Xenopus tropicalis: one gene and its partner. The protein of the gene in region 2 purifies or fractionates together with the protein of the main gene of each other region. This does not show direct contact. Links are inferred from orthologs where the notes say so. Each region holds a gene or a part of one and is shown on either strand. Other genes may lie near its edges.

Evidence for each region.
Region 1: the proteins of ndufaf3 (region 2) and ndufa13 purify together in Homo sapiens (co-immunoprecipitation; 3 studies listed by BioGRID and IntAct, with this or other methods). This does not show direct contact. The link is inferred for Xenopus tropicalis from reciprocal best matches to the Homo sapiens genes NDUFAF3 and NDUFA13.

What each region holds. Positions count from the first base shown.
Region 1 is NC_030683.2:53,117,440-53,121,367, forward strand, and holds the start of ndufa13 (NADH dehydrogenase [ubiquinone] 1 alpha subcomplex subunit 13), read right to left. Parts: upstream 2,307-3,928; 5' UTR 2,284-2,306; coding exon 2,190-2,283; intron 182-2,189; coding exon 103-181; intron 1-102. UniProt on the Homo sapiens protein: Accessory subunit of the mitochondrial membrane respiratory chain NADH dehydrogenase (Complex I), that is believed not to be involved in catalysis. Complex I functions in the transfer of electrons from NADH to the respiratory chain.
Region 2 is NC_030680.2:136,757,559-136,761,486, reverse strand, and holds the start of ndufaf3 (NADH dehydrogenase [ubiquinone] 1 alpha subcomplex assembly factor 3), read right to left. Parts: upstream 2,592-3,928; 5' UTR 2,544-2,591; intron 1,839-2,543; 5' UTR 1,814-1,838; coding exon 1,722-1,813; intron 453-1,721; coding exon 260-452; intron 1-259. UniProt on the Homo sapiens protein: Essential factor for the assembly of mitochondrial NADH:ubiquinone oxidoreductase complex (complex I).

The DNA of each region.
Region 1 (3,928 bases), on a different chromosome or scaffold from region 2:
TGCTTCTTCAATATGAACAGTAAAGCAACCCAAGTTCTGGCATGACACACCTCCTTCTGAAGCCCAGTAATACTGAACAATTGATACAACTATTAGGTCTACCTCCTTTCTCTGTTCCAGCGAAAAATGCTCCAGTATCCAAAAAGCATGACCCCAGCACCCAGAGCAAACATCGAGTACCCTGCAGAGAACCAAAAATGACAGTTATACTACAGGTCAGGAGTTTTCACAATAAGCATTTGTAATCCCCAACAACAGATATATATATATATATATATATATATATATATATATATAGTTTGACGTGTTTCCATCAATAAATTTTTTCTTTATTTCTACTAAGTCCTGTGAGTGCGGCATCTAATTTGGACTGTGCTATATTATATATATATATATATATATATATATATATATATACTATACTGAATAGAAACATGGTGACTGTTTCTATTTCATACATGAGGTTAATGCAATTATGACCAGATCTTATAAATCAGATCACTATCATCATTTTATAGCACACATATCTGTCTAATGCAAAATACTGACTCTAAAGCTGGCCATACACACACCGGTGATATCGTATGAAACCTCTTTTCGCAGGATATTCGGTGCATGTACGGCAGATCGACGAGATGACCGATATCGTCATCAGATATCGGTCATCTCATTGATCAGCCAGGTTAAAAGATTTTGATCTGGCGCCATTGAAGGTGGGCAAACAAAATCCACGTCAGGGCTGAATAGGAGGTACAGTTCCTATTGTTTCTACCTCCACATCTTATGATTCAGCCCTGAATGTCAGTGGGGGAAACGAACAATCTTCTCTGCGACCGATACTACGTGTATGGCCACCTTAAGGCTAAGCACTGCAAATCAGCTAAATTGTGCAAGCATGGTGGCATGCCATGGGAGGGCAACACAATTAGTACACAGAAAATAGGGGTTATTTACTATGAACAAGGACAGGAGTGAAAGAGCACGAAGGGCAAGGGCACACTGAGTGGATCACTCGCTCTAGTCAGCCTGCGTTTTGTATGCAGATCGACTGTCTTCAGTTTTTTAGATCCATTGACAGGTATAGCGTTGGCCTGTATGGGGCTACACTTAGCGGATATCAATGTGGAAATTCAAAATGTATGCATTCTTCCCTCCAAAATCCACTCAGTGTAGCTCCACACAGGCTGACACCATGCCTGTAATTGGGGCTACACGAAAGACCAGATGACAGCAGCTTCTCTCTGCCTATATGCAAAATGCAGAAAGAAAAAGATATGGATGATCCAGCCCTAAGAGGTGCAAGAACCTACCTGACTACCTCCTGAATACAGTAGGTGCTCTTAGCAATGTCACACGATTGTGCCTGTTTAGTGCACTTTACTCCCTGCTCATCATAATGGCCCCTTATGTTACTTATATAGGCTACCAAATAGCCAATAACAGCCTTAATTTGGCACCCCAGGAACTGTTTATGCTTGTGTTGCTCCCCAACTCTTGACATTTGAAAGTGTCTCACAGGTAAAAAGGTTGGGTACCCCTGTTATGTAACAAAAAGTGAAATGTTTGATACAGTTCTAGTCACCTTTGGCAAACAATTAACAGGCAATATTTACTGATCACCTGTTTAAAAGCAATCATCATGTTGGTTGCTATGAGATTCTGCACCTGGGAAAGGCTGTGCTTTTATTACATATGGGGGCAAAAGCCATAGGGCCCTTTGCATAGCACTGATTAAAGATAAAGTTGCAAACCTCAAAACTTTATGTATGGCACAGAACAGAAATACTCTTTCTAGGTGTTTAGCATGGAAATAAAAATGTCATCGGGGGAAGCTCAGGCATGTGGCCCTACAAGTACTGAAAGCTGTAGATCACCAACAGTTAGGTTAGACATCACCGAGTGCATACTAAAAACAAAATGTAACAAGTGTTACTAAAAAAATGTTACAATTGTTACGATAACAGATATAATACCCATTAAAGGCCCCCCTAAAATACTGGTAAACCAGGTGCAAATCCCTTCTCCGCCCTAAGCATTATGTTCATAGATTATACAATACAACTGTCAATGACATCCTGACAACACTAATGTTGCGATTGTTTTTATCAAGAGAATGTGGCCGGCAGTTAATCCTGCCCTGCCATTTTGATTCCTGCATTTCATGCTTCGCGTTCTCTCCGCAATCTCACCGCTCAGTCCTCGGCGGGGTAAATTCCTCTTGTAATCCACAGGACCATAGCCCCCAGGAGGTGGCAAGTCCTGCTTCACCTTGGACGCCGCCATCTTTAGTTAAGCCCCTGTCGAAGTCCTCTGACCACTAGTGATGACATAAATCCACATCCCCTTTGAGCTTAGGCGCCATCTTACTTAATGGCAAACAAGGGGTACTCTGAAATGCGACTTTATTGTGGTGGTAGAAAAGCATTTTCGTGACGTCATATTTTTTGCGGTAAATTGTAGTGTTAGTTGACACATTTGGATTAAATTTTCTTATTAAAGGAATACTGACTATGAAAATCCATAGGAATGTTCGGTGTTACTAAATGGTTGCAGCATGAAAAGCTTTATAATTAAAACTCCCCCACAGCCCACCCCCTAGGCCAGTGGTACCTGCTCCCCTTGAAGGGGGCCCAGAGCAGAAAGAACCTTGCTCTTTTCTTGTATCACACTAGGTGGGGGCATCAAATCCTTCCATAGGCTAATTACAAATGGAAACAGTACTTTGAAAGCCTATGGAAGGATTGTGCCACCCCCAACCCAGCATGATGGACAACAACTGCATAGTCTCCTTTCGCTGTGTTGAAGTATCAATTGGGTAAGTACTACTCAGCTTGGGGTGTCTTTTGGGGACTTTTCACTAGCTAGAATTTTAAATTGCAACTGTTAGTAGTAATACTGACAAATTTCTATGGATTTTTATAGGAACATGTCAGTGTCACTTTAAAAATAGGAACAGAATTGAGGTGCAGTACCAGAAAAAGTCAGTAGATGGCACATGGCAGCAGTTTTATACCTGTTTTTTTTATAAGTAGTGGCTTTCTTTACCGTAGAGGGATAAGCAGATATGATGCTTCAGAATCTCTGACCCATTGCATACCACCATGATTTTCTCTTACTCATGTAATGTGTTTGCCAGTACCCACTATAGCTTGTGCAGATGATATACTTTGAGCACTGGTTCCTTTCTTCCAGAACCCATTGCCAGTTCCATTATATCTTATAGCTTGCAGTGTCAGTGTATATTTTCTCTAATGGTATTAAATATTCATAGGGTTGTAGTATCCACTTCTCTACACTGATTTTACCTGGGGTGCCAGTATACACTGCCTCAGGCTGTATGCAGTGTAATTCCCACTGTCTTTTACTATATCTAAGATAAGTGGTATATATAATGTGAAGATATATAGCGTACCAGTGTCCCTTGTCTCAGATTGTATCTAAGGTGCTTGGTACCAACTTTTATTATGTACTGTACCTGGGAGGCAGTGCTCACTACGTTACATAATGTTATAATGTACTAGGGTGTCAGTGGTTACAGCCTCCCACTATGTATAATTTATATGGGATGTCAAAAAAACACTGTCTCTCACTACCTAATATACTTTGGTGTGCCAGGACCCACTGCCTATACCTGCAAAAAATTTGCCCACAGAATTTTTTTTTTTAAAAAACTGTGTGCTCACAAACTGTGAAGAATTAAAGCAAAATTTAGCATTTTTACAAAATGTTTGTGCACAGTACTAGCGGCGAGTCGATGCGGTCCCTGAACCGACTGCGCCTATTACTGGCGTTCTAATTCGATTGTTTGGCCCCAGGGCCAAACGACTGAATTAGCCCAAATTCACCCAATATCGCCCACCCGTAGGTGGGGATATCGGGACCTCACCAAGCAAGCGGATCTGAACGTGTATGGCTACCTATAGGCTAA
Region 2 (3,928 bases):
TTACCTGTTTAAAAGCAAACATCTTATTGGTTGCTATGGGTTACTACTCCAAGAAAAACTTAGTGCCTCTTATTACATATGGGGGAGTGTGTCTAAAGGTATGTTACTTCCCAGTTTAATCCCCCAACCTGCTCACACATACTGTAACCTCAAAATAATCCCTCCAGGACAATGCATGCATACTGGATAGTCATTTGCACAGTGCAAGCAGTTTGGGAGGACAGCTGGTCACACTGGGATGAAGCAAATTCCCACTCACGTTCCACTGCAGGATGGCCTTCGGAATGACAGCACACGGGCCCACTACTTTGTCCCCATTAATAATGAACCCCTGTGAGCTGTAAGTCTCAATAAACATGAACTCCGCAGAGTCTCTCTCTAGGCGGGTAACAGTGGTTCTCTGATAGAGTTCGTCGTCTGTTGGAGCAAGGCGGTGAGACCGGCATGGCTGCCTGCAAGCAAAGTAGAGTCACCAGATTAAGGGCAATTGGTATAACAATCTGGAGGAATGCACGTTGCCCATATATACATTTGAATGGAATATCACCCACCATCATACTGCACTGTATCATAAGAAACTTCTAGAAGTGATCATTATTTACCGCTGGGTCACTTAGGGACATATACTTTCCCACCTACAATCAAATAATACTTTGTGATATACTGTAGACTCAGTGCTTTCCCTGGGGCAGCACTGAGAATCTGCTATATAACCCAAAATCCTGCTTTGGTGGTCTCCAAGTGACTCCTGTTCCTACAGCAGAAAGGCCCGGACTGGCAATCTGTGGGTTCTGGCAAATGCCAGAGGGGCTGCTGTAAGATGCCATAGACACTCACTATTTATTGGGCTGGGGGCGGGCTGTTTGGGCCTATGTGTACTTGGAATGCCAGGGCCTATTTTGAACCTCAGTCTGGGCCTGATCTGAGCCATAATGTATTATCATTCCTATAAAGTTGATACTTACTGTTTTACGGAGGTTTTTTATTTATTTATTAGATAACTGTGAGCATCTGTAACCGAGCATAAGCAATTTCCCTTTGGGATTAATAAAGTTATTTGAATCTTGAATTAGGCACAAAAAACTGCGTCACATGAGCAAACGCTGCCCCAGTCTAGTAACCCATATTGAAATATCACACATTTGCACTGCACTAGCCCTGGGAAACAAAATGGTGCTTCTTTGCTATAGGTCCCTATACATGGGCTGATTGTAGCTGCTGATATCGATCCTTTGGACTGATTCGGCAGCTTATCAGCCCGTGTAGGAGCAGAAACGACCCGATCGATACCTGGCCTGAAATTGGCCAGATAATGATCGGGCAGGTTAAAAGATTCAGTCGAACCGACTGCCCCATTGCCACCATTATTAGCCTATATGTTCCCCGATATCGTCCACCCGTAGGTGGGGATATCAGGTGAAGATCAGAGCAAAGCGAGTGAATCTTCACGTGTATGGGCACCTTAAGACACAACCTGAACCATTAAACTGCATTTTTTTGCAGCAACACATTGTATGCATTTGTTACTTACTGTGGCATTTAAAAACACTGAGCAAATTTGCACCTGGGCAGTATCCCATGACCACCAATCAGAAGTTTGCGTTTCGTGTTCTCCCTGCAGCTGGCTGGAAAAATCTAATGACAGATTGGTTGCTATGGGTTACTGCCCTGGTGCAAATGTGCCATGTGTGTATGAATGAGCCCCACTGTGCCATACTTACTGTGTGTGTGATTGGAGAGCAGATGCAAAGAGCTTGCAGTGAGGGGCCAGAGAGCGCAGAGACTGAAGCCTGAGTGCTGCTGAGAGAGCCATAGCAGTCTGTTGGGATCACAGAGGCCTGTGAATAAAAGCAGTTCATACATTAATCACACAACCTGGCAGGGACAACGGGAGAAATCTATTATATATAGGAGCAGGTCTGTATACATTGCAGTTTTCCTTTGTAACTCATCCCATTACATTGAGGAGGGAGTAAAACAACCCAACAATCATCTTGTAACTCATTATAATGAAAAAGAAATAGAATTTGTACTTTTTGTTAAGGTAATAAAATAGGAAGAATGCAAGTGTCAGTTCAATGTATCCTGTTTGTGCTGACAAAGCTGAATGTGTGTGTATTGTGCCCCTATAATGCCATGAGTTGGCACAGCCATATAACTTGCAGCTGGGATTCCCTGTGCCAGAGCCAAGGGCAGGGCTGAGTGGCCAGAGGGCACATCCCTGAGGAATCACTGAATGGCTTGGCCTGTACCCCTGGCTATGTAGCTGTATGGCGGTATAACCCCAGTCTCATCTGGAGCTATATTCACAATAAATTAGGGGTGTCCATTTTGCAGAAAAGTGTTGCTGAACTATAGTTGAATTAAGGCTTTTGGAGGATCCTGGGAGTCATAGTTTACATCACTCATGGCTGTGCCCCCTATAAACCTTGGGACCCAGGGTAAATACTCATTCTGTCCCACCCTACACCCGTTCCTCCCCTAGACTAGGATCCCTACACCGTGTATCACAGACCCGGCCACACACCCCAGCGATAACCTACCGGAGAGAAGCAATGCCACAGTCTCACAGTGTATTCATGCCCTTGTACATACAGCATGGCCGCCCGGCACCGATACCTACCATAGAGACCGGCCTTTACTCCCGCATCACTTCATACAGCGCCCCATCTAGTGGCCAGTTAGTGTGCCTGCATTATAAGTAGGATGTTATGGGAATTGCTGCGGGACGCACTGGTTGCTGTAAGGGCGGGAAGTTTGTGTTGTGAAAACATATTTCTTTAGGAATCTTAAAGGGGACCGTCCCATCACGGCTGTACACACCAAATATGGCTCAGTTATATGGCTGATTCTGACTGGACCCACCAGTCTAGGCCCCAAATGGCAACCTGTGGATTCTGGCAAATGCCAGTAATTGAGATGCCAGGGCTTTGAATCCCAGTCCAGACCTGCCTTAGACAAACTTCTGCCCCAAATGATACCTCTGCTGATGCCATCTGTTTTTTATGTATATGCGAAAAACCAAGCCACCAAGGCCACCAAACGAGCGGCTCTTCTCCCTATATCCCCACCTATGGGTGGGTGATATCGGGCTAATTCAGTCATTTGGCCCTGGGGCCAAAAGATCAAATTAGAACGACAGGCATAGGCGCAGTCGCAGTTGGTTCGGGGACCACATCAGCGAGCTAACAGTCCCCGATCCGACTAAATTTTCAAACCTGCCTGATCTATATCTGTCTGATTTCAGGCCAGATATCAGTCAGGCAGGCCTGTCGTTAGTGCACTTACACGGGCCGATAAGCTGCCGAGTCGGTCTAAGGGACCGATATCGGCAGATAGAATTGGCCCTTGTATGGGGACCCTAAGATTCCATAGACAGTCACTATTTATTGTGTGTATGTGGCTGCCTAAGGCTGCAGATTCCCACAAGCAAAAGAAAATGTGGCATGTCATGGTTTTCAGACAGTTACCACGCTCTAAGTGCAGGCAGGGATAAAAAATATATTACAAAACTACAAGTGCCCTGTAGGTAGAGAAAAAATACATTGCCTGTGCCTGTTTTTGCTACCCCTGGTAAGTTGCGGGCCGCTGCCACCTGAGGCAAATATCTCAACTCACCTCATGGCATCAGTGCCCCTGGCTGCCACCCCCACCTTATACAAGTACATTTCTGCCACCCCCTGGTAAATGCCACCCGAGGGAAGGTTCTCCTTTTTTCTCATGGCATAGATGCAAAGACACTGTACACACTGCGAGGTATTCTAGCACTACAGGCACAGACAGTGCAACAGAGCTATGAGGGAGAACCGCAGCGGCCTATAAATGCTTTGGAAACGATACATGCACTAGCAGTCAGTCCAGAGATGTGGATTCAGGGTTCCCTAGTGTCGCTTGCACACAATTCAACACAAGAGGCACGACATATACA